2 linked regions of the Arabidopsis thaliana genome follow. The protein of the gene in region 2 interacts with the protein of the main gene of each other region in a pairwise test. Each region holds a gene or a part of one and is shown on either strand. Other genes may lie near its edges. The genes, in order: AT5G37890 and AT3G20260.

Evidence for each region.
Region 1: the proteins of AT3G20260 (region 2) and AT5G37890 interact in a two-hybrid assay, tested with the Arabidopsis thaliana proteins (one large-scale study listed by BioGRID).

The regions. Positions count from the first base shown.
Region 1 is NC_003076.8:15,082,091-15,097,513, reverse strand, and holds AT5G37890 (Protein with RING/U-box and TRAF-like domain), read left to right. Parts: upstream 1-5,558; 5' UTR 5,559-5,691; coding exon 5,692-5,883; intron 5,884-6,333; coding exon 6,334-7,002; 3' UTR 7,003-7,836; downstream 7,837-15,423. Other genes in the region: AT5G37910 (Protein with RING/U-box and TRAF-like domain), read left to right, coding at 196-348, 627-1,304; AT5G37900 (TRAF-like superfamily protein), read left to right, coding at 2,712-2,855, 3,030-3,611. UniProt on the Arabidopsis thaliana protein: E3 ubiquitin-protein ligase that mediates ubiquitination and subsequent proteasomal degradation of target proteins.
Region 2 is NC_003074.8:7,056,436-7,072,114, forward strand, and holds AT3G20260 (DUF1666 family protein (DUF1666)), read right to left. Parts: upstream 10,295-15,679; 5' UTR 9,317-10,294; coding exon 8,881-9,316; intron 8,797-8,880; coding exon 8,380-8,796; intron 8,292-8,379; coding exon 8,077-8,291; intron 8,001-8,076; coding exon 7,755-8,000; 3' UTR 7,475-7,754; downstream 1-7,474. Other genes in the region: AT3G20230 (Ribosomal L18p/L5e family protein), read right to left, coding at 80-244; AT3G20240 (Mitochondrial substrate carrier family protein), read left to right, coding at 757-879, 1,088-1,182, 1,274-1,607, 1,702-1,939, 2,025-2,281; PUM5 (pumilio 5), read right to left, coding at 2,663-2,697, 2,782-2,953, 3,025-3,219, 3,313-3,423, 3,506-3,718, 3,820-3,927, 4,006-4,147, 4,265-5,541 and 1 more; AT3G20270 (lipid-binding serum glycoprotein family protein), read left to right, coding at 11,344-11,603, 11,695-11,846, 11,929-12,065, 12,140-12,289, 12,522-12,959, 13,080-13,219, 13,301-13,643, 13,719-13,967 and 2 more; AT3G20280 (RING/FYVE/PHD zinc finger superfamily protein), read left to right, coding at 15,040-15,432, 15,571-15,667.

The sequences.
Region 1 (15,423 bases), on a different chromosome or scaffold from region 2:
TATAAACAGAGATCTCTCCATCATTCTTGTTTAAGAGTTAATTATCATACTTTTTTTTTGAGATTAAATAAACTGGTGTTCAGACACGAGAAGAGAATTCTCACCTTTGTTTGTATCAAAGTTTTGAACAAACCCTCTAAACCCTTCCCCCTTCATCAGCCGAGGACAAATTTCTCCTATTGATTTCTACGCGACATGGTGCTAGCTTCAATTTCGGAAGCTTTGATATCTCAAGGTGATGGAGGGGAGAGAGTGGCTAAGAGACAACGCTCGGCGATAGTACTGCTAGATCTTGATATCCTCGATTGTCCTATTTGCTGTGAAGCATTGACGAGTCCTATCTTCCAGGTTTTGTGTCTTATATGAAAATTCACTTTTTTTTTTTTTTGAATAATGTCAAATTATAGTCAAAAAGAAAAATATACGTTTGTACAACTTCGTGAGGTTGAATGTGAAATTTTAAAAGAATTGCTTAGGAATTGCTAAAAAACTGAACCATTCTAAGATGCCAATGAATACTGTTATCTGAAAATTCAATTGTCCAGTTTTTAATATCTATATTTTTTCTCGAATTTTGAAGGTGTAGTTACAGCTTTTTAACCACAATTTGTATTTTGTTTTTTCAGTGTGATAATGGGCATTTGGCTTGCGGTTCTTGCTGTCCCAAACTGAGTAATAAGTGCCCTGCATGTACTTTGCCTGTTGGTCACAGTCGCAGCAGAGCAATGGAGAGTGTTCTTGAATCTATTTTGATCCCATGCCCAAACGTCAGGTTTGGTTGTACCAAGAGTTTCTTTTATGGGAAAGAGTCAGCTCATGAAAAAGAATGCATCTTCTCTCAATGCTCATGCCCTTCATCGGTCTGCGATTACACTGGCTCATACAAGGATCTCTACGCTCACTATAAACTGACTCACTCCACGAATATTTTCTGGAATATTAAGCGCTTTAGATGTGCCAATTTCTTTACGACCTCCATGCTCATCAGCGATAAGATACTAATTAAAAGGGTACATGAGAAGAAACTATTGCTTGCAGTGCAGTGTTTTAGGGAACCGTGTGGTGTGTATGTGACTGTAAGCTTCATTGCACCATCTGCTCCAGAAGTAGGAGAGTTCTCATATCAACTCTCCTACAATGTGGATGGACACACTGTGACTTATGAATCTCCGGAGGTGAAGAGGGTTTGTAAAGTGAGTATTGAAACCCCTCAAGAGAATTTCATGTTGATACCTCACAGTTTATTGCGTGGTGACTTGTTGGAGATGCAGGTTTTTATCATCGAAAATGTGGACCAAGAGTAAGAAGTTGAGGTGATATATAGAACTAGGAAGGTCATTCTATTATTGTTTTCATATTCCTATGTACATGGAAACTCTTTTTGTCTCGTCTGTTTTATTTAACATATAAGCTTTGCCCCGATGAAGTAAGACCCGATTTGATTGCTTAACGGCTTGATTTAATTAGGTTTCAGTTTAACTAGATTACAACTTTGATTATAACTCGTTTGGTTTTGCACTTAATGTGATGAAATCGACCAACCAAACATTTCACAGTGTTTCAACCGTTCCATCTTTTCAAATGTATTATTATACAGTACATGCTAGGTATTAATTGTTTTAACACAACTTTTGATATATGTCAAGCTTTAGTCCATAAATTGTCATCACTCTTCTTTGTTTATATGCTGATGTAAACATACTATGACAAGACTGTTCGTTTAAAAATGTGGCGACTTAATTGTGCGACCCATAAATACCTTAAGGTTGGAGCAGAATACAAGCTGAGTATGAAAACCGATCCAAGCTCAAAAATACCGAAATCAATGGCTAGAAGAGTCATCATCTCAATGGCTAGAAGAGTCCTCACCGAAGTATTGTGGTGTGTAGTTTCTTCTCCTGTCTTAGTAATATTCATCAAGTAGAAATTTTAAGCTCTTGCGGTGAAACTTGAATGATGTTTGCTTCATTCCATGCTTCCTTGATCAAAATTATTCCATGGTTTTGACTTATGAGAAACGTAAATTAAATATTTGGAAACATGCGAAAATTTAAAAACCAATTAATATGCCATATAAGATAATACAGTAAAATATTAAAATATTTGACACATGTTACAATCAAATTGATCATCACACGTATCATGATGATAATGATGTTAGTCGTTTAATTGTTTTTATAATTTTCCTCTTCATAAGTAAAAAACCTAAAATATATTTAACACATGTGAATGTCTGATTGATTGACTACACATATATCAGTTGCGTTAATTACGATATGAACTTGTGTCAAATACTTCTTCAACCCTTACACAAAACCCTAATTAAAATAAAACCGAACATACACGTGTTCTTCTAGCTTTCCCTTGCGTTTTTGGTTTTCAAGCTCTAAGGTATTTAACAAGATTTCCTTTTTCTGGTTAGTTTCCTTTTCCTTAGTTAGTTTGGATTTGTGTTTACCACTCCTAAGAGATGTATTAAAAGTTGTCTTCTACAAATAGATCTATCCATCGTTGTTTAAGAGATATCAGACTTGTGTTTTGAGATTTAAAAAGTTGGCGTTTAAACACTCTTTTTTTTTTTTACTTTTTTTGGTACGGAAGTCTTATAAAAGTTTCGAACAAACTCTTCTGCCTTCATCAGTCGAGGATGTTTTAAAATTGTTTGATTAATGAAAATATGATAATATTTTTACTATTGATATCTAGGTGACATGGTGGGAGCCTTAGAAGCTTTGATATCTCAAGGTCATGGAGGGGAGAGAGTGGCTAAGAGACAACGCTCGGCGACATTGCTAGATCTTGATATCCTCGATTGTCCTATTTGCTGTGAAGGATTGACGTGTCCTATCTTCCAGGTTTTGTTTCTTGTCTAAAAATTGTTTTTTTCCAGCTTTTAATACATATTTTTTTTCTTGAAATTTTTACAGTGTTTTTTTTTTTGTATGTCAGTGTGAGAATGGACATTTAGCATGCTCTTCTTGCTGTCCCAAACTGAGGAACAAATGCCCTGCTTGTGCTTTCTTTATCAGCCAATGGAGAATATTCTTGAATCGATATTGGTCACATGCCCAAACGACATGTTTGGTTGCACCGAGAGTTTCTTATATGGGAAAAAATCAACTCATGAAGAAGAATGCATTTTCTCTCTATGCTCATGCCCTTCATTGGACTGTGAGTACTCCGGCCGATACGAGGATCTCTATGATCACTATAAACTGACTCACATCTCGAACTCATACTGGACCACTAACTGCTTTAGATCTAGCATTCCATATAAGGCCCCGATGCTTATCAGCGATAAGATACAAATTACAAGGGTATATGAGAAGAAAATATTGTTTGCAGTGCAGTGTTTTAGGGAGTCGTGTGGTGTGTATGTAACCGTAAGCTGCATTGCACCATCTGCTCCAGAAGTTGGACAGTTCTCATATCAAATCTCCTACACTGTGGATGAACACACTATGGTTTACAGATCACCACAAATGAAGAGGGTTCGTAAAGTGAGTTTTGAAACACCTCAAGAGAATTTCATGTTGATACCTCACAATTTATTGCGTAGTGAATTGTTGGATATTAAGCTTTCTATCGTCGAAACGTCGAACCAAGAGTAAGAATGTTGAGGTGATATAGAACTAGAAGGAAGGAATGTCATTTTTTTACTCTCTCTATCTCGTCTGACATTTATATAAGTTTTGACGAACTAAGATCCGATGTAATTGCTTAACGGCTTGATTCAGCTTTGATGCAATTTGTTTGGTATTGCTTAACACGTTTTTGTGCATTTAGAGTGATAATGGAAATTTTGATGGAATCGACCAACAAAACATTTCACAGTTTTTTAATCTAATAACTTCTAAGCTATACTTTATGCATGACCAAATTGGAGTAATGCGTGCTCTTTCGTTTGTCATGATTATGGTCTCCATCTTTTATTCTACTCTTAGTCGAAATCTAATTATAAGTAAACGTACGAACGTGTGATGTCTAAAAGCAGAAGAAAAAATTTAGTTGTGAATTGTGATTCAATGATTAAAGAATTCCAATATGGTAGTTTTAACTGCAATTTTACATATTAGTTAAGAATATAAAAGCTAATACCAAAATTCTTAAATCTTTAGCAGAAAAAATAATAGCAAAAGTTAAAATAGAAATTTCCATAAATAGCACCATTTCAAGTTTTTGGAAAAAAATAGCACTCAAACATTTTTTGGACAAAATAGCATTCAAATAATTATTTTATTTTTAATTATTAAAATTAACAATTAAAAAAATTCAAAAAGTACACAAATTCATCATTTGGGTGAATGCTCTATGAATATGCTAACACAAACTTTTTTTTTATTAGCAATCTGCTACTTCTGCATAGTAATTGACCCTATTCAAAAAAAATGAACTATATAACTCATAAATTGTTAATTCTGCAAACGATATGGTTATTGAAATTATATTGGTTTAAGCATATACTAACCTATATATCTGTTAATTCTGTGAATCAACCGCCGATTTTTTCCTTGCGTTTCCAATAATATTTTCCTCAAGGTTTGAATTACTAGCTTACATTGTATAGCACTCCATTATCTTCATCATGTAGATATCGGACTCTTTAATCTTAGCAGTCTACCACCAAAAATCAAAAGAATTTTTAAACATTTAATTTGAAAATTACTTGAGGAATAGAGGTCAACACTATGATATATTAAATTTAGAAATTACCTGAAGAAAAGAGGTCAGGACTCTGATACTGAATGGAGTGACATCTATGTCGTGGAATCTTTCAAAGAATCATTTCCTGAATTTAAGAAAGATTCTACAAAATTCAGGAAGAGTTTTAGGAAAGATTTTTTTGTGAAATCTTTTATGAATTCCGTGAAATCCTTCCCAAATTTCGTATAATAATCTTTCCTAAATTTTTTTTATGGGAAACATTTGACGGATTTTTTTTTGTGAGAAAATTTTGACAAAAATCTTTGGCGAGAAATATTTAATTTTATTTATTTAATTAAATTAGTTATTTATATTAAATATTTAATAATTAATTAAAGTTTTGAGTGTAATTTTGGAACTATTCAAATGAGCTGCTATTTTTGAAGAAATTGTTTTTTTTTGCTATTTTTATCAATCTTCCAAGGTAAAATTAGTCTAGTGGTTTGTGATTGCCCCAAATCCCAACTTCAAAACCACATTTTTGACAAAAAAATAAATAAAAGCTACATAACTTTTAAAAATAAAAATTAGCTTATTAATTAATGTAGCAAAAAATACATAAACTATTAAGACTAAATAAATAATTATTATTGTATTTTGTAAAATTTAGACATTGTTTCTGTTATATATTATATGGGCCTTAATTGGGAATTGAAGAATTAAAAAATACATAAACTTTAAGACTAATATTAATTTTTAAATGGTTTTATATATATAATTATATTCTTTTATATTGTAAATATTAATAGACTTAAAAATTAGATATTGTTTATAAGTTTATCAAAAAAAGGTATTGTTTATATATTATATGGGCCTTAATTGGGAATTGAAGAACTATCGAAGCCCATATCATCTATAGTTTGTGCCATTGTCTCCTTTCTCTGTAAAACCATCCATCAATGAACAAAATCAACTAAATTCTCTATTTGCCTCTCTCAGTTTTCGAGAAGACTAAAAGCGAATTTAGGGTTTAGTCATCTCTCCGACATGGTTGGTGCCGCGATTTTGGAATCTCCCGGCGAAGGAATTGGATCTAACAGCATTCTCTCGCAAAAGAGACAACTTTCTTCTAGTGATGCAGCTAAGAGAGACGCTAAGAAACGCTCGACAATGCTAATGGATCTGGAGATTCTCGATTGTCCCATTTGCTACGAAGCTTTCACAATTCCCATCTTCCAGGTTTCGTAATTTCTCAAATTGAATCATTTCGTATTTTTCAGAAAGTTTCTGTTTTGGTTAGAACTCTGAACATAGTTGGAACTGTGGCCATTTACTTGATTCTAAGAGTAGCCTTAGCTTTTGAGGATTCTAGTGAACTTTTGAAAGTTATGTTAAAGAAATTGCAGAGAGAAGAAGTTGGAATTGTGCCCATTTACTAGTTACTAGATTTCAAGAGTGTCCTTAAGCTTTAGCTTGTGATGATTTTATAGAATTCTAGTGAACTTTAGTAAGTTATGTTCATGTATGCAGTTGTATATAGTTATTGAAAATATGTGTATAACTTGTCTATATCATGAATTATATGGGAGAATCATTTGGGGAGAGAACTATTATCCTTGGTCGATTCGATGAATATTATCTCGACGTTGTTATAGCTTTTGATCACAAGTTATTGGTTTTGAATTTCAGTGTGATAATGGACATTTGGCTTGTTCTTCTTGCTGTCCCAAACTAAATAACAAATGCCCTGCGTGTACTTCGCCTGTTGGCCACAATCGCTGCAGAGCAATGGAGAGTGTTCTTGAATCGATCTTGATCCCGTGTCCGAACGCCAAGTTAGGTTGCAAAAAGAATGTATCTTATGGGAAAGAGTTAACTCATGAAAAGGAATGCATGTTCTCTCATTGCGCCTGCCCTGCATTGGATTGCAATTACACTAGCTCATACAAGGATCTGTACACTCACTATCGTATTACCCATATGGAAATAAACCAGATTAATACGTTCATTTGTGACATTCCCTTAAGTGTCCGGATGAACATCAGCAAAAAGATATTGATTAGAACGGAACACTTGACGAATCATTTGTTTGCAGTGCAGTGTTTCAGGGAGCCGTATGGTGTGTATGTAACTGTAAGCTGCATTGCGCCATCTTCTCCAGAATTAAGTCAGTACTCATATGCTCTCTCTTACACTGTCGATGGACACACTGTGATTTACCAATCACCAGAGGTGAAGAGGGTTCTTAAGTTGAGTTTTCAAACCCCGCAAGAGAATTTCATGTTGATTCCCAACAGTTTATTGCGTGGTGATGTGTTGGAAATGAGGATTAGCGTCAAGAAGTTGAACAAAGAGTAAGAAGGTTGGGGTCTTCCTGTTAGAAAACTCTTATCTGTCTCGTTTTAGTTATCTTAACCCGCCCATAGTCGTTATGGTTGATGAGGGTTGTAATTTTAGAGACTTGGTGCAATCGACCAACAAAACGTTTCACAATGTTTTCAATCTAAACTAAGATATAATTTATGCATAGGCCATTTGCTATGAAGCATTGACGATTCCTGTCTTCCAAGAAGATTTTTCCATCTTTCTGATTCTTATTTCTTGATAACTAAAATTCTTCCAGGTTTTGGTGTTTCTTGTTATAAACTCTGTATTAGGAACAACGAAGTTGGAAACTTGCCCTTTTACTAGATTCTAAAAGTTACAAAAACTAGTTTTGTTTTGAGGATTTGAGGATTCTAGCGAAGTTCTACAAAATATGTTCAGTTTTGGAGTTGTAGTTCTTGAAAAGTGTGTATAATTTAGCAAGATCAAGTATATATCATGAATTATAAAAAAGGTTAGTTAAATATATATATATATGGAGGATGATATAATTAAGAAAGTATACATGGACATATAATTATATCCCATAGGACAGAAAAAAAGAGGTTGAAGAGGGAGATCGTCCTCACCAGAATCCATGGTTAGGGCCTCACCAGAAGAGGTTGGGTTGTCTGTTTGTGTTAATGTGTATACCAAATTCGGTTTTCCACCAATTTCCTCCTTACAAAATACACCCATTGAACTCATGGCTGCTAATATGGAGATTTGGATCGATTTTTGTGATATTCTTCTTCTCCTTCTCCCCTTGCATATATATATTAGCCAGCCATTTAATATAAAAACTTGTGAATACAACTAAGCTTTCTTTTGTTTTAGTTGAAAGCTTTTTTATATTCTTTGTTATAAAAAAGTCGTTCATTATTTTTTTTTTCTTTTTGTTTTTTTGTTAAAGAAAGTCGTTCATTATTGATTTCGGAGAGCTGTTCAATTATCAAGACTTCGGATTTTCCGGATCTTGTTTCTAACGATTGGAAGTTTGAAGAAGCAAGACTTCGAATCCCATCTAGGAACAAGAACATATCGTGACTTCACGTTGGACAACTGTAAAATAATAGTGTACAATACAATACATGATAGTATTTGTTATTACTTTAAAATTAAACAAGGAAAATACGACAAGTCTACAACGCAGATTAAGTTAAATATTTTTCTTTTTCTGCTAGTGATATGATTCTTCTCTCCAAAAGTATATCTCTCACACAAAACTTGCTTAGGTCTAAACAATAATCTTAAAATATTTACATGTATATATTTTTGCTAAGGTTTTTGACCAAAAATCCCTCACCTATTTACTATTTTCAATATTAGTCCTTACAAATTTAATCTCAATCAAATACTTTATAACTAAAAACTTACAATTAGTTGAATTGCATTAATTAGTTGAATCAACTCTTCCTAATTTTTTATCCTTAACTAAATTTTTTTTTATTGAACTATATTCGATTAAGGCTAATTTCCTAAAATCTATATATCAACATTAAATATAAATATATAATTTTTCTGTCATTATCTTTGTTTTTATATATAGCTATTTTAGTTTATATATAAAATACATATATTTAATAAAATATTAGATTTTTTTGCATCCGATAAAATTCAAATTTTTTAAAACAGACATATAATACTCCATCGATAAAAAAAAAAGTTTTAAAGGTCCCACATTGCTTAAAAATTTGGGACATCGTTAAGAGTCATACTATAAAAAATATTTAAGTGATTCTGAATACGAATGAGAAGGAACCTTGATATATCAAACATCCAAAATTAAAAGTATTGTTCGGTTTACTCCGGTTCTTTATTTTAAATAAGTAAAAGTTTTAAAGTTTTAAAATATTATATATATTTAAAATTTATTAAAAGTTAAGTATTACAATTTCTTAAGAAAATTTAAAAGTTAATAACTATAAAATAAATTTAATATTAATGATTTAAAAATTTTAAAATTTTATGAAGTTGTAAATTTTGTAAATATTTGAACTTTATAAGAAGTTAAAATATTATAAATACTAAAAATATATTAATATTGAACGATATATTACGGGTGAAATCCTATATGTAACAATCAATATACAATTATGAAGTTTGGTCCATATTAAAACTTTTTTGAAGTTTCTAATATTATAATTATTCGAACTTCATAAAAAAATGATAAAATGATGTTTAATTTCACGGGACGAGGTTATATGGTGGGATAGGTTTGGATCGATATTAATACGGAATGATACAATTATACAATTTTAAACACTAAAAAAAAATAGTTATAAAAATCATACAGAGGTGTATCATACTATCATACATAAAAGACAATAGCATGTATCTATAGATCATCCTAAAAACAATAATAATATTTTTAATTTAATAAAAATATAGACGTTTGATGTACCTCTTGAATATGTTATATATATAAACAATATTAATAAAAATAAAATATCTAATTTTCTAAGAAATATTTCAACCCTGGATGTACCGCGGGTCAATCTCTAAATAATACAAGTTAAAAAATAATAATAATAATAATACAAGTTTTAAATCTTTATTACCTCTAAAAAACCCAAACCATAAAAATAAATATTGAATTTTCATAATTAACTAACAAATATGAGAACATAAAAATGAATTATCGAAGCTTTACATAAATAAAAATTATGTGTTAAGAATATATTATTTATATACAATTAATAATTTTTAAAAAAATTATCTATAATTTTTTAATGAACATATCCACCCGTGGTACCGCGGGTTAATATCTAGTATATATATAATATAGGTTAGTAAAAACGTGCAGGGTCTATTTTACAAATAAGAAAAATTTCTAGACTTCTTAAAGACTTTATGATACGTGAGAAATATCCTTGTCGATAAGGGTGTCGATCGGTACTGACGTGGTGTCGATCGATACTGACGTGGTGTCGATCGACACCAACGTATGAATAATGTTTCTGCTTGTCTTCTTTTCCTGAAAAGCTTCCAAAATTCCTTATTATGCTTCATAGCTCTTAAAAGTAGATATGCACCTGTAATGACTAAAAAAGATACAAAAAAGATTAGAAAGACTATAAAAACCATTCTAATACTATGTTAGAAATCAGTAAAAACCATGATATATCTCATATAATTTATTGACTTTTATTTGGTAATTGTATACGTGTGTTAGATTATTGTTGTAAGTTGTTACATTATACTCTAATTGTTTAATTGTATTTTAAAATTTACATTTATTTTATTTATCAACCGTATTATTGTGTCCTTTCTTCAATATATGATTATGCACATCAAAATAACTTTAAACTTCTTTATTAAATTCCACAAGTGTATATATAGTAAATAATTAGTAATTAAATGCAATAATTTCTTACCATATTTTTCAATGATGGAAGAAATAGTAAATAATTTGAATATTGATCATATAAAGTATTTGAGTTCTTTTGATTAATATCAATTAGTATCAATATATCAATATTCATATATGTTAATCTTTTAATTAATCAAGACTTTTTTAATCTCACAACTTTGAATATTTTACAATTTACACACATACTAAAATCAATATGATATAAACAACTTACAAATTTGAAATATATCAGTTAAAAAAATATTGCATATCATTTTCATAGATTTAAATAAAACGCAAAACTTATATTGTATATCAATATTATAATTAGCACTTTTGATTAATTTGATAAATGTTTAATATAAAAATAACAAAAATCTAGCTTTAGTTTATAATTTATAAAACCTAAAAAATGTTTAGTTCAAAATTAATATATCATAGTCACAATATTTATGCTAATTGTTATTACATGTATTATAAAGTAACTAAATATTTTATTTTATATATATATATATATATATATATATATATTAGTTATAAAATATTGTATATTTCACTACATTTATTTCATCCGCGCATCGCATAAGGTTATGTAGTGTTATGTAGTTTAAGAAATCATATACTATATCTTAAAAATATTATATGTTAAAAAAATTAAATTTTCATTTTTCCAATACTCAAATTAAATATGTGTATAAACTTTATTAAAGCATAAACATTTACTTTTATATGTATCTAAAATTTTATAAATACTTTATAAAAATATCTTACAAGTACCTTAGAAGTTATAATTATCTTGTAAATATGTAAAATACTTTGTAAAACCTTGTGACACTTTATAACACCTTATAAAATACCTCATAAATACTGGAATTGAATCTCCAAATAGTAGTTACAACTGATAAATACCTTATAAACCTTATAAAATTTTATAAAATTCGCAGATTTAATCAAAAAATTATTTTTCTTAAAATGATTCAAATTTAAATAGCAACTATTGGGTTGTTACTGAGCATGTCTATAATATGTAGGTTTCCTAGCGGTTTACAAATTGTCAAACAAATATATTGCAATAAAAATGCCGACAAAAAAAAAGTTTTATTTATTATAACTTGAAACTATTAATTGTTAATACTTAATAGCCACATAGGGGAAACGGTCTGAATTCGAATTTGCTATTGTTTTATTTTATTTTATTTTTAGTCAACTATATTAGATTGATTCAAACAAATCAATACCGAAAAACATTATTTATATAGGTGATAAGATGTGGTTGCGTATAAACGTTTAATACTAAATTATCCGATTTTGTATTCGCATTCAAAAATTTAAAAATATAAAAATAAATCAAACTCCTCTTTATTACTATTGCTGGAAGGAAAAAAATGTTAACCTCAATTTTGAATTGTTCTTCAGAAAAATTTAATTACTTTTTAATCATTCAAAATACAGCTAGCTTTGGTTGTTATTTGTTTACTAGAAGAAAATACATGAAATGTATAAATATAATTTGAATGTATTCTGTCATATATATAAGAGAAAAAAATAGTTTCTTAAGAAAAACATTATTGTCTAAGGATCTGTTTATTTCGAATAAACCAATGTGAAAAGACAATAGTAGTAATTATAACAATTGTTTTTAGTACTAAATTAGAACCCGTGTATCACACTGATTTATCGATAAATATGGTTTTACCAGTTGTTAGATATTTATTGTAATGATATCTAAACAACATGGTGAATGTTAATCGATCGAATAAGATATGAAATTAAAGTATTAACTAAAACCTTTGGGAGAACGACCTGTGTCCCCCTACCAAGTTTCACATTGTATCACAACTACACAGAATCTAACACTCAATCTCGGTCCCCATGGAATGAAAGTTAAAAACATGCTTCCCCCTAAATCGAAAGTTACAGACTCTGATCCCCAAAAATGTTAATTCCATGGTTTGCCTTCGGTTTATTATACAGAACCCGATGTCAAACCAAAACCCAGAAGGATAAACCGAATTAAACCTTATTCTCGAGGTATCACACAACCCAACCCGATAAATCCCAACCCGATAAATACAATCCCCAAATTGAGAAATCCTAGAACCCTAATCTCGATTGTTCTTCTTCTCTTTTCTTCACCATTTTCGAATTCAATTCTGAGCTTGAATATGAGCAATTCATCTGGAGCTACGAGTGGAGCATCAAATGTTGGACAGAGAAGAAGATTCGTGGGTGTGCCAAAGATGTGTTGGTGTGGTGCTACTATCTCGGCGCTCATGTCTAAGTCCGCTTCGAATCCATATCGACGTTACTATCGTTGTGCTTATGCTGCAACACATAAGGTAATGTGATTGATATTTGAGTTGTTTCATACAAATTTATAGCCTAATTCTCTGTTCTTTGTAGCTTGTTGATGATAACCACACATTCAAGTGGGTTGATGAAGCATTGTTAGATGAGATAGAGAGATTGACTCGAAGAACGGCTGCACTTGAAGAAACAATGTCCCAAATTACAACAGAGAATATGGAACACCAAAAGATGGTTTTTGAGAAGATGCAAATGAAGCTAGAGAGAGAGATTGTGGAGAGTGTAGAAGAAGAACTGTTGGAATCAAAATCAAGCATGAAGAAAATGTCGATTGCTGTCATTGTTGGTTGTATGATCATGCTAGGTTTGAGTAAGGTGATAGGTTAGGTTTGAGTAAGGTGATAATTTAAATCTAGTGTATTGGGTTGTTGTTGTTTGTTTGTTTTCGCTTTCTGTTATTGTTGTTGTAGTGTACTAACCGTTGATCGAGCTTATGTTTGTGTAATGAAAAACCCAATTTGGATTCTTGTGCTTGTTGTTGTTGTTTGTTTTGTTGTGTTTGAGAATGAGTAAAACAAAGACAAATGGCCAAAGAAGACAAAATAGATTCGTTGAATGAGTCAATTGGTGTATTCTAAGAAATCACCAAACATTATTGAGGCAAAGAACATCCGAAACAAAGAAATGAAACATCCATAACCAAAATTACATAACCGAGTTAAGTTTTAATCAGATGGTAAACAAAAACTAGACCCATCTAATCCTCTTACACCTAACTAATCTCCTTCTAATCAGCCTTGAGACATCACAACTCCTTGAGACGGTTCCACTTGGCTGCCTTGAGTGCCATGAGTGCTAGGGCCTAGACTGCCTTGAGACATCAATCCTTCAAAGGCCTAATACACATTTTAAAGCAAAACAAGAGTCAAACTATTTTATAGGCCTAATACACGTTTTAATGCAATGCAAAACATAACCAAAAGGCTAACCTGTACTGAAGACTTTTTCTTCTTGTGGAACCTTGAGTTGTGACCAGCTGCATTACAAATACCACAATGCATTACCCTTTTCATTTGTTTTGGTGCCATCTTAGTAGGAGTCTCATTCTTTCCCTTTTTTCTCTTCTTGTCTTTTTTAGTCTCTTTTCCTTTCTTTCTCCCAGGCTGTGGTGGTGGTGGTGGTGCATGCACATCAGGATGTTCTGTCGATGGCCAAAATGCAGGACCTCTCTGCGGAAATAGGCCGTCTGTGTAATTTTTCTTCCACATGGGTGTCCGAAACCAGTGACACACATAATCTTCAACCTCTTGCTTCTTGTTTAACATGACTCCATAAGCATGCTCACAAGGAATGCCACAGATTTGCCATTTCTGACAAGTGCAAGTCCTCTCACTTAAGCATATCCTATGAGAACCGTTACCTATAGTAGCTTCATACATATCATTAGTGCTTCTTCTTATGGTCAGCTCTGAAGCTTTTTTGAATTCTTTGGCAAGGAATTTACTAACATATGGCGTGCATCTCCCTTTGTGCTCATGAGATTCAACAGCTCTCTTGGCTATCCTTACCATTGCAAGTCTCCTTATGGTTTCAAGCATTGGCACAAATGCTTTGTCTCGAGCTTTAAAAATGGAGTTGTTGAAGGACTCCGTCGAATTATTCTCAACATCTTCACAGAAGTTTCCTTGCTTGTAAAACGCCCTGCACCAAGTTCTTGGTTTTGACTTCACAACATCACGCCAAACTGCCACATTGTAGTTGTAAAGCATGGTCATGTTAGCTTCAAAGCTTTTCTCATTGTAGCTCCATGCCACATCCCAAACATACTTCTTCATCTCTTTATCTTTCCCATGATTTTTCTTCAGGTTTCCATAAATGTGTCTCACACACATTCTATGCTCAACCATGGGCAGCTCTAACTCAACAGCTCGAATCAAACCCTGAAAAAAAAAAAAAACGATCATTAATAAACTACCAAAAGACAATCAGACACTATGCTTAAATTAAGAATGCTTCTTACCTTTTGACGATCAGACACTATGATATAACCATCACCATCCATTAGTCCCAAATCATCCTTCAGCTTCCTCACAAACCACACCCAATTATCTATATTTTCTACTTGTACACACCGCCATGCTATTGGGTATATAGCATTATCAGCATCTCTACCTAAAGCAACAAGTAGCTGACCTTTAACCTTTCCTTTTATAAAGGTTCCATTTATCCTTATAAGTGGCCTACACGACTCTTTCCATGTTCTCTTTAGCGCATCAAAGCAAACGTAGAATCTGTTGAATACCTCTTGTCTGCCTCATTTGTCACAGTCTGAACCTCAACAGTTGAGTCTTTATTGGACTCTCGTATCTCTTCCGCATAGTCTTGAAGCCTAGCAAACTGCTCATCATGTTCTCTCTCAATCCATCTCAATGCCTTTCTCCTTGCAGCTTGACATTGAGGCCTAGATACGGTGATCTTCCATCGTCTTTTAATGATTTCCTCAATCTTCATAGGCATGAAGTACAGAGGTTCCTTTCTAATACTATCTAAAAACAACCTAGCAATTACCGGAACCTTCAACATCTCACAATCTCCATTTGGATTACATGTGTGGACATCTTTGTACACGTTAACCCTCCACCTAGCACATTTCTTCGTGATTGAACAATAAATACGCCAAATACAGCCATCCCCATCACATTTATATCCCAGCTTATCCTTATCATACCTGTATTGAGCGATATTGCATCCTGTCT
Region 2 (15,679 bases):
GCACAATACTATACGCGCAAGAGAAAGTACGAAACAACCTCAGAGATTGTGCATGGACTACGAAAGTAGACGGCTTTACCTTCTTGACAATGGGGGATGAGATAACAGAGCCGATTTCGATGGAGAGTTTAGGAAAGGAAGATTGCCATGAAACTGCAGAACCCAGTTTGGTGAAACGATTCGAACGAGTCAGATTCGAGTCGAAGGGGACGAGTGAGCAAGTTGATGAAATCAAGCAAGACATCTTCGTCGAGCTTGAAGAGTGAGAAAGAAAGCTCTCGGAGTGGGAGAAAGTAAACTAATCGGATAGGGCTCGGCCGCTAACCCAGGACCGGCTGATTGGACCAGTTAAAATCGGTTATTTAAAAACCTGAGAAAATTGGTGAACCGGATCGAATCGTCAACCCCAAACGCCCGGTTACGAGTTATAAAGATATTTTGGAGAAATAAAGGGCCAAAAACGAGCGTTTTGATTCCATAAGTGGGGTTGTAAATAAATTACTAGAAAATTGTTAAAATAAAATAAAAATTGGGAGAAACACATAAACCCTAAAAAGCTTAAATCTTTCTTCCCATAAATTATTAGTTTATACTCTTCTAGGTCTCTCTGTTCACAATCTGATGGAAGTTTGTTTTTTTCTTTGTTTTCTAATTATGTTTTAATTGAATATTCTCTGTTGCCCTTTTTTGAATCTCTTGTTCTGTCTCTCTGATAAAATCTTTGAAAGAACAAACGGAGACAGAGAGTGAGAGAAAATGGCAATGGTTGTTCCAAAAGAAGGGCTTGTGGTTATGGACAAGGAATCTGTTTCTTCAGCTTCATCGGATTCTCATCTTCGTCTCCAACCTCACTTTCCTGACTTCACTATTCCTGTTAAAGTCAGTTCCTTTTCTTTTTGTTCTTTCTGGTCCAGTCTCTCTCTGCTTTTATGAGTATATTTGAATTTGTGGAGTTTTAACATTCTGGATTATGTTTTGGTAATGGTATTATGTTGTTTGGATATGCATGAGATAAGGGTCTGCTACTTGATTGAATGATTTTATAGAACCATTGTGTGATATTTTCTCTCTGTTATGTTTGATTCAGGATTTCTTCAAGTCTAGGGAAGCCCGTGAGTTTCTTAGTGGGGCTTTAGCTGGAGCTATGACCAAAGCTGTTCTTGCTCCACTTGAGACTATAAGGTCTGTATAGTCCCTTGTGATCTCCTCAATAATACACTTTGATGTCTAAAATTTAACTAAAAATTGCATTGTGCGGTGTGAAATCTGGCAGGACAAGAATGATTGTTGGTGTTGGATCGAGAAGCATTCCAGGTAGTTTTCTGGAAGTTGTACAGAAGCAAGGGTGGCAAGGTCTTTGGGCTGGCAATGAAATCAATATGATTCGAATCATTCCAACGCAAGCAATTGAGTTAGGGACATTCGAGTGGGTAAAACGTGCAATGACATCAGCTCAAGTGAAGTTGAAGAAGATTGAGGACGCCAAGATTGAAATCGGTGATTTTAGTTTCAGTCCGTCCATATCGTGGATCTCTCCTGTTGCTGTGGCTGGTGCATCTGCTGGTATTGCCAGTACACTTGTTTGCCATCCTCTCGAAGTCCTCAAGGTAATGTCTTAGTCAATCAAAGTCTGTTTTATAACGCTATTGAATTTTTTTAGTCTAGAGTTGAAAGAGAGTGATGTTCTCTGATCTTTACCAGGATAGATTGACTGTGAGCCCTGAGATTTATCCAAGCTTAAGCCTTGCAATTCCAAGAATTTTTAGAGCCGATGGAATCCGTGGATTTTACGCTGGCTTAGGACCAACATTGGTCGGGATGCTTCCTTACAGCACATGTTATTACTTCATGTATGACAAAATGAAGACCTCATACTGCAAATCCAAGAACAAAAAGGCTTTAAGCCGTCCAGAGATGCTTGTTCTTGGAGCTTTAGCTGGTAAGTAATTGAAGAAACCACTCCCTTTACAGTATTTCCTTACTTAAATCATGTTTAAGACTCATTGAGTTGTGACTGGGGTCAGGTCTAACGGCGAGCACCATAAGCTTCCCCTTGGAAGTAGCGCGGAAGCGGTTGATGGTTGGAGCTCTGAAGGGAGAATGCCCACCAAACATGGCTGCAGCAATAGCAGAAGTAGTGAAGAAAGAAGGAGTGATGGGACTCTACAGAGGATGGGGAGCAAGTTGTTTGAAAGTCATGCCATCTTCAGGCATTACTTGGGTCTTCTATGAAGCCTGGAAAGATATTTTGCTTGCCGCCAACACCAAACCACTCATATAATGACGAAATTGTAACCTAAGTTATTATTGTTTCTTTAAAGCTAAAGCCTGTCATCACATTTCTAAGTTATGATTTAGGGAATGTGGTGGCTTGGACATGAGATGTTTTTTTGGCACCTGGGAGTGTTATGATTCCCATGAGAAGTAGAAGATGAGTTTTTTTTAATTCTTGAGGCTAATTCTCTGTGTTCTTCTCGTCAAAACAAAGAAGTAAGAAGCAAATCAAATTATTAATCACAGATCATGTCCACACCATATACATATTGTAATACCATCACACTTCCATTCATAGATACAAGCATATATACATAAGCATTTTCAAATACATATTTGTCTAAGTCAAACATTGTACAAATCTGCAACCCAAAAGAAAATCTTCTGTCTAACCTTCTGTTCCCTCTTCTGAGACTTCACTCTCTGTAACAATAACATATTAGAACGTTCAGATTTCTTTAGCAGAGTCATATTGACAACTCAAGTTTTAGTTTTAGAGAAAAGTACCTTCACCAAACAGTTGTTCGAATCGGGCTACTATGTGTTTCCCGTATGTGTATTTCCGCAAACTTTGGAGATGAATTTTCATCCTCTGCACCAGAATCTCCCTTTGCTGATCTTTACTGATCTCCAAGACTTTCTGGACCACGTAATTTGCAAACTGATCCTTCATCATCGCCTGCAGAACAAAAGAGTGTTAAAATAAGTCCAGGAGGATTCAAAGAGCTATCTTTAGGATTTTGTTCTTACTAGCAAGTGATTGTCTTCCTCGGATTTGCCCATTATCTCTTCAATCAGGAACTCTCTTTCGGTACTATCAGCGTGTTCCAAACACTTCTCTACAACGTTAGATGCGTATTTGTGCTGACTCATCTGAACAACATTCCCTGTCAACTTCTCAATGATCTGTCTCCTTTCATCGGGCTTCCCTCTCTCCAGGACATGCTACAAGAAAAACATAAGCCAAAGCACAATATTAAGAACAAAAAGATTTCAAGACAATTCCAAGAGGGACAATGGATCCGAGATTAACCAGACCTGAGTGACATAATTCCCATACTGATCATGAGCAAGAGCAAACGCAGATTCCAATATTTCATCTATTATACAATGAGTCTCCTCATCATCTGAGCAATGCTCCAAGATTCTCTATAACAAAGCAGACAGGAAAATAATGAATATTTCAAGTTCAGAGTACAAGAGGAGACAGAGCTCGCTCTTTTCCAATTACCTGGATAACTCGGCATCCATAAGGATGAGTAGAAAGAGTGGCGACTTGACCACGGAAAGCAGCAATTACGAATCCAATCCTACCAGCAGGCATACTCTCGATACATTTTTGGATAACATGATTTCCGTTTTGATCTCTAACACACTTCAGCACATTCCCATCGAGCTCACGAATTAGTTCTGTCTTTTGGTCAACATCTATCACTTCAAGGGCCTATAAATATCATAAGGTACAAACAAGCACATGGAAACTTAACTACAATTTACTTCAAGATACTGACATTGATATAAGGAAAGTAAAATTAATAAATTTACCTTTTGTATCACACGGCATCCATACATTTGTAAGCTTAGTGAAACCATCTGACCAGCAAGTTGCTTCACAAGTTCTTCTCTCTGTGCCGGAGTTCCATGTTCTATGAACTGATTCAAAAATCACAATGTATTTTATGGACAAGATCTTTTCAGCTTAGAAAAAAAGAAGAAGAAAAAGTGGCTCACTTTTTGGATGACATAATTTCCAAAAACGTCAGTCATCAATTTTGAAGCTTGTGGAAGAACCTCACTGAAAACAGATGCCTTCTCCTCATCGGAGCAGTGCTCCAACTTCTGTTGAATAAACCGGCTGCCATGCTGATCGACGCTGAAGTTCAGAAAAATGAGTAGTAAATTAAGATTACTATGACATCATTTCTTTTGAACCTTTCAAAACACTACTTCAGAATTAAAGAAAATGATAGATTCGGAGCAGAAACACTGCCTGAATTCAACAACACGCCCTGCAATATCAGAAAGCTCGAGTTTCCGAGCATTTGGAGACTTAAGTTCATCAAGAAAAGAATGTCTTTTTAGATCATCAACGATGCTGCTGGCTCCCCCTCTGTTCCCTTGCCATCCACCAGGGTAGATCCCAGTGTTTCTACTTGGCCCTTGTTGATGATACCTTGTTTCACTTCGTCTTCCAAAGTGGCTCATCATTCCACCAACCGGTGAGGATGGCATCACCGGACTAGCAAGAGGTGATCCTGGATACTGCGGCATTACTCTTACACCAGGCGGCACTGCAAAATAGTTTCCCATGTGCCGCGGACTTTGCAACCCGTAACCCGGACTCAATGGACTGTTGAGAGGTTCATGATTTGCCATATAGCCAACAGCTTGTTGGTCTTTCTGCCCAAAAGAATCAGTGCTGCTCTGAAACGGAGGAGCATACGCGTCCACTTGAGCCTGTTGAAAATATTGCAACTGAAAAGGATCCACAAGAGAAGGAATGTTTTGTCCACTCGATGATACTCCAGGCAGGAGCCGAGGGTTGTTGTAGCCCGAAGAAGTAGATGAGATATCATATGGCATAGGAACAGTCGCTTCATGAGATGGGTATCCACTCATATATTGAGGGACAATACCAGAAGCAGGAGGGTAACCACCATAATTATATTGCGGGACGAACATACCCGAGGACTGAAAGTTTTGATGGTAAAATGGACTCAGAGATGTCATATATGCTGCTGTTGATGTATACATAGGAGGCGGTGCCAAACCGTGAGGAGATTGGAAAGTCGAATGTACCTCGCCAGTTGCAATCTTTGGTAAGCTCTGCATCATGTCCTGTGTACCACCTATCCTCGGATAGCTCATTTGCTGTGGCGAACTAGCTTGAACCTGATACGATGAAGGTGTGTATTGTGGAGGCATTCTCCTTCCCTGAGATTGTTGGTCTTCTTGGTTCCTCCTCATTCTTGAAGCAACAGAGGATGGAGGAGAAGCACCAAAAACAGATAGATTGTTGTCCTCATGGCTCGCTTGCCTCGCGTTCAATCTCTCTGTCTGTGCATTAGTAAAACTTTGTGAGGCCAAATCAGTGGTAAAGGGATCTTCACTAGCAATAGCATCGCTGGAGAGAGAATCTGTCTCCCTCAGCAGATTAACCGAATTTATATCGGACTCCGGTAATCTTCTTGCGTGTTCTGAAGATGTATCAGAGGAAATGGCATGGATGTCTTGTGCTATTGGACGATTTCCTGCCGAATGAGGCCGCTTGAACACAGAAGAAAGTGTAAGAGGGAAATCTTCCTTTATGTAAAATGAATTAATATTTTAGTAATAAAATAAGGAACCATGTACCTGAATCATATCAGCTATGCTCTTACGACGACCAGCCAAAGAAGCATAAGATTGTTGTTCACCCGATGATGCCTCATCCTCGGGCTCCTCTCTATGAGTTGAAAGAGCAGTTCTAGAAGAATGCAAAGATGATCTTATCCCCATATTATCCCAAGAAGTTGTTGGACTCTGATTATTATCACCAAAATGACGCAACAAGTGCTGATTCTCCCGTGAGATTAACGGAGGAGGGAGTCTCGGATTCAAGTTGATGTTCGACAAATAGTAAGCTACATAAGCAGGATCACTACGTATCTCTTCTTCCGAGTCATAATTCTCAATAGCCCTACTTAAAACTTCAGAGCTACTACCTTCTTGTTGTTTCAAGAGATTCCTAAGAGCTGCAAAGGAACCTTCCATGCTAGGCGGCGCGCTTTCGCTTCTACTAGGGAATTTACCGGTTTGATCACCACTATCCAACCTATTTCTTTTCATAAGGAATCCTAAATCTTCAACAGCCATATCAAGTGAACCAAAGATCCCACTATCACTAGAAGCCTGCCAATTTTTTATATGATCACCCTCAACCATTCTCATAGCGCTCTGCGTAGTCGTCATACTTCTATTATAATCAAGTTTCTATATATCATACAAAGTAAATTTCACAACACCTGACACATAGAGCAAAACCTTAGTCCATAAGAGAACAAAAAGCTAAGAACTTTAAGATATGGTCCCAAATTTCATTAATCACAAGAACAAAAAAACAAGTAATCGACAAGACATGAACGAAATCTACATATCAAGGATCGAAATTTCAGACTAAGATTTTTACCATTTCCTGAAGCTAAAAAATTCAGTCAACTCAATAATCAGGAAAAACAACAACAAGATCATCAAAAGACGCCATCTTTATAAAAGCACACGAAACCGTTGAACTCATTCATTAACCTCTTCACAAACAGAGAATCATATCCTGAAGCTATAATCAGAGATCAAAATTAAACAAAAGACTTAAACTTTATCATTTTCTATTCATAAACTAGTTCCTTGCATGACTTGTAGAAGAAAAAAAAGTAGATACAGAGAGGAAGAGGGAAGAAGAGGCAGAGTTAAGTACCTGATGGTGATATTCAAGCTTCCATGAAAGTGTTTTCTCAAAGAGCTTGAAATAAAATGTTTGAAGAGAGAAGAGACCCAGAGAAAAAGAGAGATAGAGAAATTAAAACTAAACCCTTTGAAAAGTTTGCTTCAAGGGGCTTCGTCGAGTCACCAAGTCAAGACTAATCTTAACACTTTTTTGTTTCTCGGCAATTATTGTAAGGTTTTAGTCTTTAATTTAATACACAAAATTTTATTTAAAGAGTTTTTCGATATCGCATTTTTAACAACATTACAATATTCAGCATCACGACGGATTCGCACACGAAGAGGTCGTCGTCTCCTTATAATGACTAAACTACCCCTCAGCATGTTCTTTAACGGTGGTGGTGAAGCAAGCCCTTTTTGGTCATTCAAGCTTTGGCTCCAAATTGGTGACTAGGTTTGCCACGTGTTGACACTTCTAGTTGAAAGAGATACGTTCACGTGGCATTGTCTCTGTTGCCTGTTACTACGCCACCACCAAAACACACTTTAAGTTTTTTGTTTTTGTTTCTTCTTCTTTTTGGATTAAGAAATTCTAATTGTTTGTTTTAAGAACCTGAACACTGTTCAACAGTTTTATAGTTATAGTTCTTAGGATTTTTGTTAAATAGGAAAGTGTGGAAAAGAAATAAAAAGACTTTGGCCAAAAACAATGAAAGTGATAGAAGAATAAGACTTTTCTATCACCATCATGATCATGATCATGGATTTAGTTTCCCATCAACAAGACAACATTGGATTCTTTCATATGTGCTAAATCCAAACGACAACAATGAAAATGGTCCCTTAATAGTGAATCTATGACCAAACCAAGTGTGTTCTTGGAATTGGACTCTTATTGCCAAGAGAATGAATGAAAGCAAATGGAACAACACACACAATTTCTTCTTTGATTTGTCTGCAAAAGAAAAATCCCCAAACCGGATCTTAAAGATCGTATAAAAAGGGAACAGTTGATGCTACAGTATTTGAAATCATTGTGTGTTCATCACTTTATTATATCAACAAGGGAAAAGAATTGGAGATGGGTGTCTTTGAAGCTTCCCAGCTGAAAAGTTGAGCTTTTTCATCTTTTCTTCACACCATAGAAGTTGCTCTTTACTGATTTTCGACATCCTCAAAACCCGTGTTGCGAGTTTGATGTCAATGGCTGCAAACAAGAGTTGAACACCTTCCCATGTTTGAGGCCATGATTTCTTTCTCAGCCCTTTTGTCTTCTTTGAAAGCTCCTTTGCTTTCACCCTTTTCTGCAAAAGTTCCTCTCTTATGAGACACCAAAGAAGCATACGATAGTAATAACATTTGAGTACAGAGAAATCGTACCTTATCAATGGATGACTGAACCAGTAGTAAAGGAGTTGTAGAATTCACATGGTTGTTGTTGTGGTTCCCAAACAAGTGAATACCCCCATTTGGTTTCTTCTTATCCATTTTCAAGAAGACGTTGAAAGTAAGGATCGAGCTCTCTATGACTTTGATGAGATCATCAGCGAGGACCATGAAGCCTGTATCTTTCTCCATCTCCTTTTTATCTGACCCTGATATGTTTTGAACATAACCAACTTCAAGTGTTACTACTACACATAAGGTTTTAAGTCGCGCAATGTATGAGAGCTGAGAAATCACCTTGAATCTTAGGAGCTTGAAGTAGCTTAGGCATTGCATTTCTAGCACGAGCATAAAGTTCCGATCTTGAGCCTTGCTCAAACGGTTCATTCTCTATATACCTCTGCAACAAGACTAGGAATTGCTGAAACAGTTGGGCAGTATGGTTGTAGCAAGTCGGGGTTTCGGGTTGGCATGAGATTAAGTGGCTCAGCTGCGTGTATTGACAGTGAAGTGCCTCCCAAGTGAGGCAGAGTTGAGCAACATAGGCCGTCTCTAGATCTTGATAAGGGTCGTCAACTTCTGTCGGCTGCAAATGCTCGATATCTTCCTCCGGAACATCAAACTTTTTGAGAGAAAGACATCGGAAAGGCGATGACAGCTTCTTAGATGCAGATCTTGGCGATGGAGTTGAAGGACTTGGAGCAATTCCAATGCCTAAGAGATTGAAAAGTAACCAACAAATCCATGATCAGTCCAATCTATCACAATGAAAAACAGTTCAAAGCAAGAAGCTTTTACCAGTTTCCTTGAGCTGCTGAGAGCTTAAACGATCAAAGAAGAGCATACGCTCGCAATACTTTTCATAGACAGCATCAAAACCTCCCCACCATTGAAGTCCTTCAGCAACCACATCTCTCCACTCACTTGAACACTTGTCTTCTCCGTCATCATCATCTTCATCTAGATACGATTCCTCTTCTTCTTCTTCTTCTTCCTCAGGTATCAACACCATGAAACTGTTTCTCCTCAACTCCTTGAGCCTTCTCTTAACCTCATTGGTAATGAAATCATCATCGTCATCTTCGATCTCATCTCCTTTCCCCGAATCTATCACACCAGCTTCAGTGTTCTCACTCCTTGCCTGTTCTTGCTGAGCCAATATCTTGTCTTCTTTCTCCTTTTCAAGGTTTGGCTTCCGAGACTTTCGAAATTTTCTAACTTTCAAGAAATCCATTGCCTCCTCAAACACACTTAGGAGAGTGAGTGTTTTTTGTTAAATCATAAGATCTAAACTGAGACTAGTCTCTTTGCATGAGTAAAAGCGTTTCTCTTCTGCCACAACGAACTTAATCAAAGAATCAACCAAACCAGAGAATGAGGAAAATGCATGAATCTAGTAAGATCTCAGAGAATCATGAGCAAACCCTAGAGAATTAGGAACACCGACAGAAGATTAAGAATGCATAAGTAGATCAGTAGCAACAACAGCATTTGTCTGAAACTTTAGATTCGATTCACTAATCTCTAGCTGATAAGAACACTAGCATTCCCTGATAAATCAACACTCCACTGAAACTACTACTACACTGAGCAAAGAGTGTGAGAAAAAAAACAAAAAGAAAGAAAAAGATTCAAAATTTAAGAAAGAAAGAGAAACCCAAATAAAAGCAAAACAAAATCGAAAGACAAAGACAGGAGGAGGAGGAGATTAAAGAAGGAGAAATGTTTCTAACCACTTGCAAGAGAGAGAGAGAGAAAGCAAAGTATAATAATGTCTCAATTCAAGTTTTTTCAGTAAATGGACAGAGAGAGCACAATATAAATGTGAGAGAGGAAAGGAGAGCAAGTATTATTGATTCTTAAACAGATGTCATTAAATTCAATAATTAAACTTTGTGATTTCAAATTCCAAAAAAAAACTAGAAATTTTCTTCCTTTCTTAAAACCCTTTCCTCAAAAATTTCCATTTGCAGTCAAAACCCTCACAAAGAGGTTTCTGAGTCAATTTGACTTTTTGTTTATTTCCTAATGGGTCGAAATTGTCTTTTACTGTTTGGTTTCTTACTTTACTTTTTCTGATACTTCATTTTCTATTGGTTAATTTTTGGTTTTGTTTTGGTGTTTGATTAGAGAAGGAGAGAGATGTATGAATGAATGAAAAGGAGAAGAAGCAGTAACAAGTAACAACTGGTAGGTAGGTCAGTGGGGGGAGAGATAGAAAGAAAAGCATCGTACAGAGAATATTGTCAGAAAAGCCGCGCTATCTGTTCTCCTTCCATTTGCTCACTTCTCTCTTTTAAAATTACATCTTTACCCTCCTCCGTCTCATACATCTACGGGTCTTATCTTTGTTTCTGATGACAATTTGGGCTTCTCTTAAAATGGGCTTTTTCTTTACCAAATTTATGTATACTGCTATGAAACGACGTCGTCTTTTACTTTGGTTATATTGGTATGGTTTTTGAATTTACTTTGGTTACGATTCCGGTCTAGTGGATTGGATGAAACCGAATTGGAGAGCTTGAGGTTATGATCCATGGCTTCATTTGGCATGTCTCTCACACCAGTTCTTCTTCTCAGGGATTACTTACTACCTCTTGTAAGTTCTCATTCGATTCTATTTTTGCTTGAATTCTGTTTCAGCTGATGAAACGCTTGTTATCATCTTAGCCGTTTCGTTTTCTACTCTTTCTAGTTATAAAATTTTGACTTCTTCAAGAGAATTTTTTTTGGGTTCCAATCAATCAGATTGCTATGATCCTCTGAATAGAATTTTCTTGTTGATATAGGGACTTGTGTTGTTGAGTTTGAGCCTATAGTGATCAAATGGGATTCTCATATGAATTTTACTCAAATTTTGTTACTTTTTTAATCTTATAACTGTAGACAAAAGCTTATCCTTTTATTGGTTACAAATCGTATGAACATTTGATTCTATGCTTTTTGCTTTGCCATTAAGCAATTGATTTTTTTTAGTTTGCTTGTTTCCGGATTATGGGAATGAAGCTTCACTGGGATTAAGAATCTGTAAGTAATATGTTTTTGTTTAATAAGCTTTAGGCTTATAGATATGTTTTTTTAAAGTTCTAAGTTAGTGTTGTGTTTGTTACTCTTAAACATACTTAAAAAGCTACTAAATGAGTGCTATTCAATAATGTTCTGTTTGATTTCGATGGAATAATTTAGTGTGACTGATGTTGCTTTTATGTCGCTTATGTATTATTGGTGATCTATGTGTAAAACATGTGTTGCAGGATAGTAATGAACCGAAGTAAAGAAGAGAACGTTGCTCCGACAATGAAAGATGATAGTCCATTTGGAAAGCTTACAGAGGATCTCTTGATAGAGATATTTATCAGAATTCCAATAACAAATTGGGAACAAGTATCGTGTGTTAGAAAGCAGTGGGCTAATTTATTCCGCGGAGAATGCTTATGGCTGGCTGCTCTTAATCGGGCGTATCCACTTGCTAGCAAAACTAAGAGCTGGATTGGACCAATTCGTCAAGGATTAAGCAAACGGTGACTGGAAACACACTTGATTTCTATGAAAAAAGCTAGCTTAATAATGTCTTAGTTAGATTCAAGGAACTTAACAGCCTTTTAGCTGCAGGAGATATGTGGCTTTATACATCAGCAGAAACATATTAGGTGTGGATGATACAGACATAGATGAGATGCTTGGACATATTTACGTGTTCTTGAATGATCAGCTTCAACTTTCCACTATGCCTGCTTCAGGCATTTTGCATGGAACCCTTATCGGTAAGCTAGTTTGGTATATGCATTTGACTCTGCTTAATGAATCATTGCTAATGACGGCATTCATCTTATATTCTGGTGGCAGACCAATTGATTGTTTGTGGCCAATCGAAAGAAGAAGCTGGTGAGCTTGCAACAAAGATTTGGCTGGCTCTTCTTGACAATTTAGAGGACACAAAACATACATTTACCGTGCTGAAATCAATCGCACAAGAATATGATGTAAGAAAGGATAACAGTGTCCATAAAGTTTTCAAATTCTTTTCTAGTAGAAACTAACTATCTAAGAGATGCAGGGCTTTCTTCCATATCCATATTCAAGACCAATCAAAGTGCAGTGGAAGGTGTTCGAGAAACTGTTTGTAGATTTCCGTGACTTGCTTGATCATTCAGAGTACTGCGACTTAATAGGAATTGCCAAAAATAAGTTTCAAACCATACCTTATGTTTGGTTAGGCTACTAAACTTAGCCTGCTTCTTCCAGTTTCCACAGCCCTGTAAAGTAATTTGAGGTCCAATTCTACAACATACTTGTACATAAGACATTCAAAGTCTGCATCTTGTAAGAAAGAAAGACGTGTAAAATGCAGATTCTTGGCCATGTATAATTCGTGGTTCGTTTTAAAGCAAAAGTCAAACATTTTGTTGACTATTTTAACTTCTTCGTTACTTGCTAAGTTCAGTTATCCATCCACTTTATTCTTCTTCTTGGAAATGGCTCTCATGAAAGTAATGACGATTCTGGTTCTCTTCGTCTCGGTGTCATCGACCTTGGCGCAATCCAACAATGGCGGTCACATTTCGATAATCGTCTCGGAAACAGGTCTTGAATTTGCTAAAGATTACCTCATCAAGAAAGTGATCACTACGACGCTTCCACTTCAGCTACCAGACATTGAGAATAAGGTTAAGATCCCTCTAATCGGGAAAGTTCGAATGGGTCTATCGAATATTCAGATTGATGCAGTTCATGTCCAGTCTTCGAAGATGGAGACTCGAAAAGATGGAATCATTTTGAGTGTTTTAGGTGCTACAGCAAATTTGAGTATGGACTGGTCTTATACTTACAGAGCTTCCTTCTTTGAGATTTCTGATCATGGAGATGCTTCTGTTGAGGTAAAACTCTGAAATTATCGAAAACCAAATTGGGTCTTTTTAGTTTTGTTGTTTGTGTTCAGAACATTGTTTCATCATCAGAAGAAAAAGCTTAACAGGTGAATGATTATGACGATGAAGGTTAAAGGAATGAATGTGAGAATCACTGCCACTTTGGTTAATGATAATGGAAGTCTAAAGATTGCCTCACGGGAAAATGATTGTACAGTAAAGAACATTGATATTCATATCAATGGTGGTGCTTCTTGGCTATATCAAGGGTATTATTAAATGTTCCATAAGTTTTCGTATCTCTAAAATCTCTTATTCCAAGATTATAATATTTGTTTTCCTTTTTGCAGGGTGGTTGATGCATTTCAAAAAATGATTATATCTACTGTTGAAAAAACTGTCTCTACTAAAATTGTAGAAAAAATGAAGAAGCTTGATTCTTTCTTGCAATCACTTCCAAAACAGAGAAAGATTGATGACTCTGCTGCAGTGAATCTCACTTTTACAGGCAACCCTGTCTTAGGGAATTCGTCGGTTGAAGTTGACATCAATGGTTTATTCATGCCAAAGGGTGATGATATTAAAGTTGCAGGGTCTCGTTCTTCTTCCTTCTTTGGTGGGGTTAATAAGAGAATGGTGACAATTTCAGTAGAAGAAGGAGTTTTCAACTCTGCAACACTTGTCTACTTCAACGTAAGTTCTCAAATCTTGATTAGAGTATGGTGGAACAAAACAATTTGTAAGCTTATTGGATTGGTTTTGATTCAGGCTAAGGTGATGCATTTAGTTATGGAGGAAACAAAGAACGGGTCCATTCTAAGCACATCTGACTGGAAACTCATCCTTCCAGAGCTGTACAAACATTATCCAGATAATAAAATGGTGCTTAACATGTCAGTAACATCTCCTCCTGCTGTTAAAATCACAGAGAATGGAATTGATGCGACGATTCAGCTAGATATAGCGTTCGATGTTCAAGACTCTGGAGAAAATCTATCTGTAGCACGCCTATCAACAGTAAGACTAATAGTAATCCACCAAACAATCTAACTTAAGAAGCATCTTTTGATCACTAAAGTTAGAATCTTGTTCTTGTTTGCAGATTCTGAGTGTTGCGTGTTCTACAGAAATCGTAAAGAATAATCTAATCGGTAGCCTCAGATTAAATGATTTCAATGCAACAATGAAGTGGAGTAAAATTGGAGAGTTTCAAACAAACTATGTTCAGGTAAGTCAAGTTAATTATCTTGAGTTTAAGATTTATCTTGATTAGCATCAAACTGGTGGATATGTGTTCTTGTTGTTAGGCTGCTACGTCTAGGATTCTTGAAGCCTTGTTTTTGCCGTACGTAAACACACGTCTCAAGAGAGGATTCCCTTTGCCGATTCCCGGCGATTTCACGATCAAAAACATAAAGATTGTTTATGTTAATAGTGGCATTTTGGTATGTACCGATATCGGCACTAGCACAAACCAGTAAGCAAGTATTATATAGCTTCTTAGATTGCATGTACGTAAGCCTGAAGAAATATAATGACAACCATAATTGTGATTTGAACCGTTTGGAACTTCCCCTCTAAGAAGCGTTTTGACGAGATCTCTTTATTTCTTTGGCTACTTGCATTATATCTGGAACTTCCCCCCCTAAGACCAATGCATCTTTCTGAGAGGTTAAGGAAAACTTCCATTAGGCAATTGCAAGACACGGCCCAATGATTTATATTACAGGCCTGTTAAATATGGGCCCAACTTCGTAAACAATCAAAATATTATTCATATGTACGCAAAACAACAATAGAAAAGGATAAAATTGTTATTCTATTATATCTCTCTAGGACAAAAAAAAGTAAAGTCAAAAGATCCTCTCTCATCGATCTCTCTCTAACATCTCCGTCTTCTGCTTCGTGTAATTTGGGTATTGTTGGCTCCCTACTCTGATTCCTCAAATTCCTTATTTTTATTAACCCGCGAAAATAAATTATAAAGAGGGCTTTCAAAATTTTGAACCTTTCTCTAACAATGGAGATCTCCCTCCTTCCCTTTTTCTTCTTTCGCGTTTAAGGTTTCTCCTCGTCTCTTCTCTTTTCAATGGATATAGCGACCAGTAATGCTCCAATGAATCTTGAATCCGTCGCAATGGTTGATGGCAACGGAGCAGAACCGGTGTCTCCGCCTGCGAAAAAGCCACGTTTTGACGAGGAGATGAATAGAGTGGCGGAGATTGTTCTGGTTCTATCGGCGTTAGGGAGGATGCGTGGTGGGGAAACTCCGACGGCGTTGGAACTCGAGCTGATGTTTGAAGCTAGGTCCAAATTAGCTGGGATGTGTCTGGAATTTGACCCTAAGGATATTATTCGTAAGGATGATGTTAAATCTGTGATTGAGGATTTGGGTTTCAATGGTAAGCTTAAAGACCAGAGATTAGGTTTTCGAGCTCCTACGGTGACTATCTCTGAGAAGCTTTCTCTTGGTAAACGAAAGGTAATGCCTTTTGTTTCTCAGATCACAATTGTGTTTTCTCTTTGATATTGCTCACTTCAATTGGGTATAGTTTTGTCAGCATTTTGAGAGATGCAATTTTCTCTGTGGCGTTTTCATCATTGTTTTGATTTTGTCCAGATGGAAGAAGCAGAAAAGTATCCTACCACTTCGACAGTATCCACTGGATATACATTGTCACAGCCAAACGGTAGTCTTGCATCTCCTGGTGGTCTTGGTAAGGCTACAC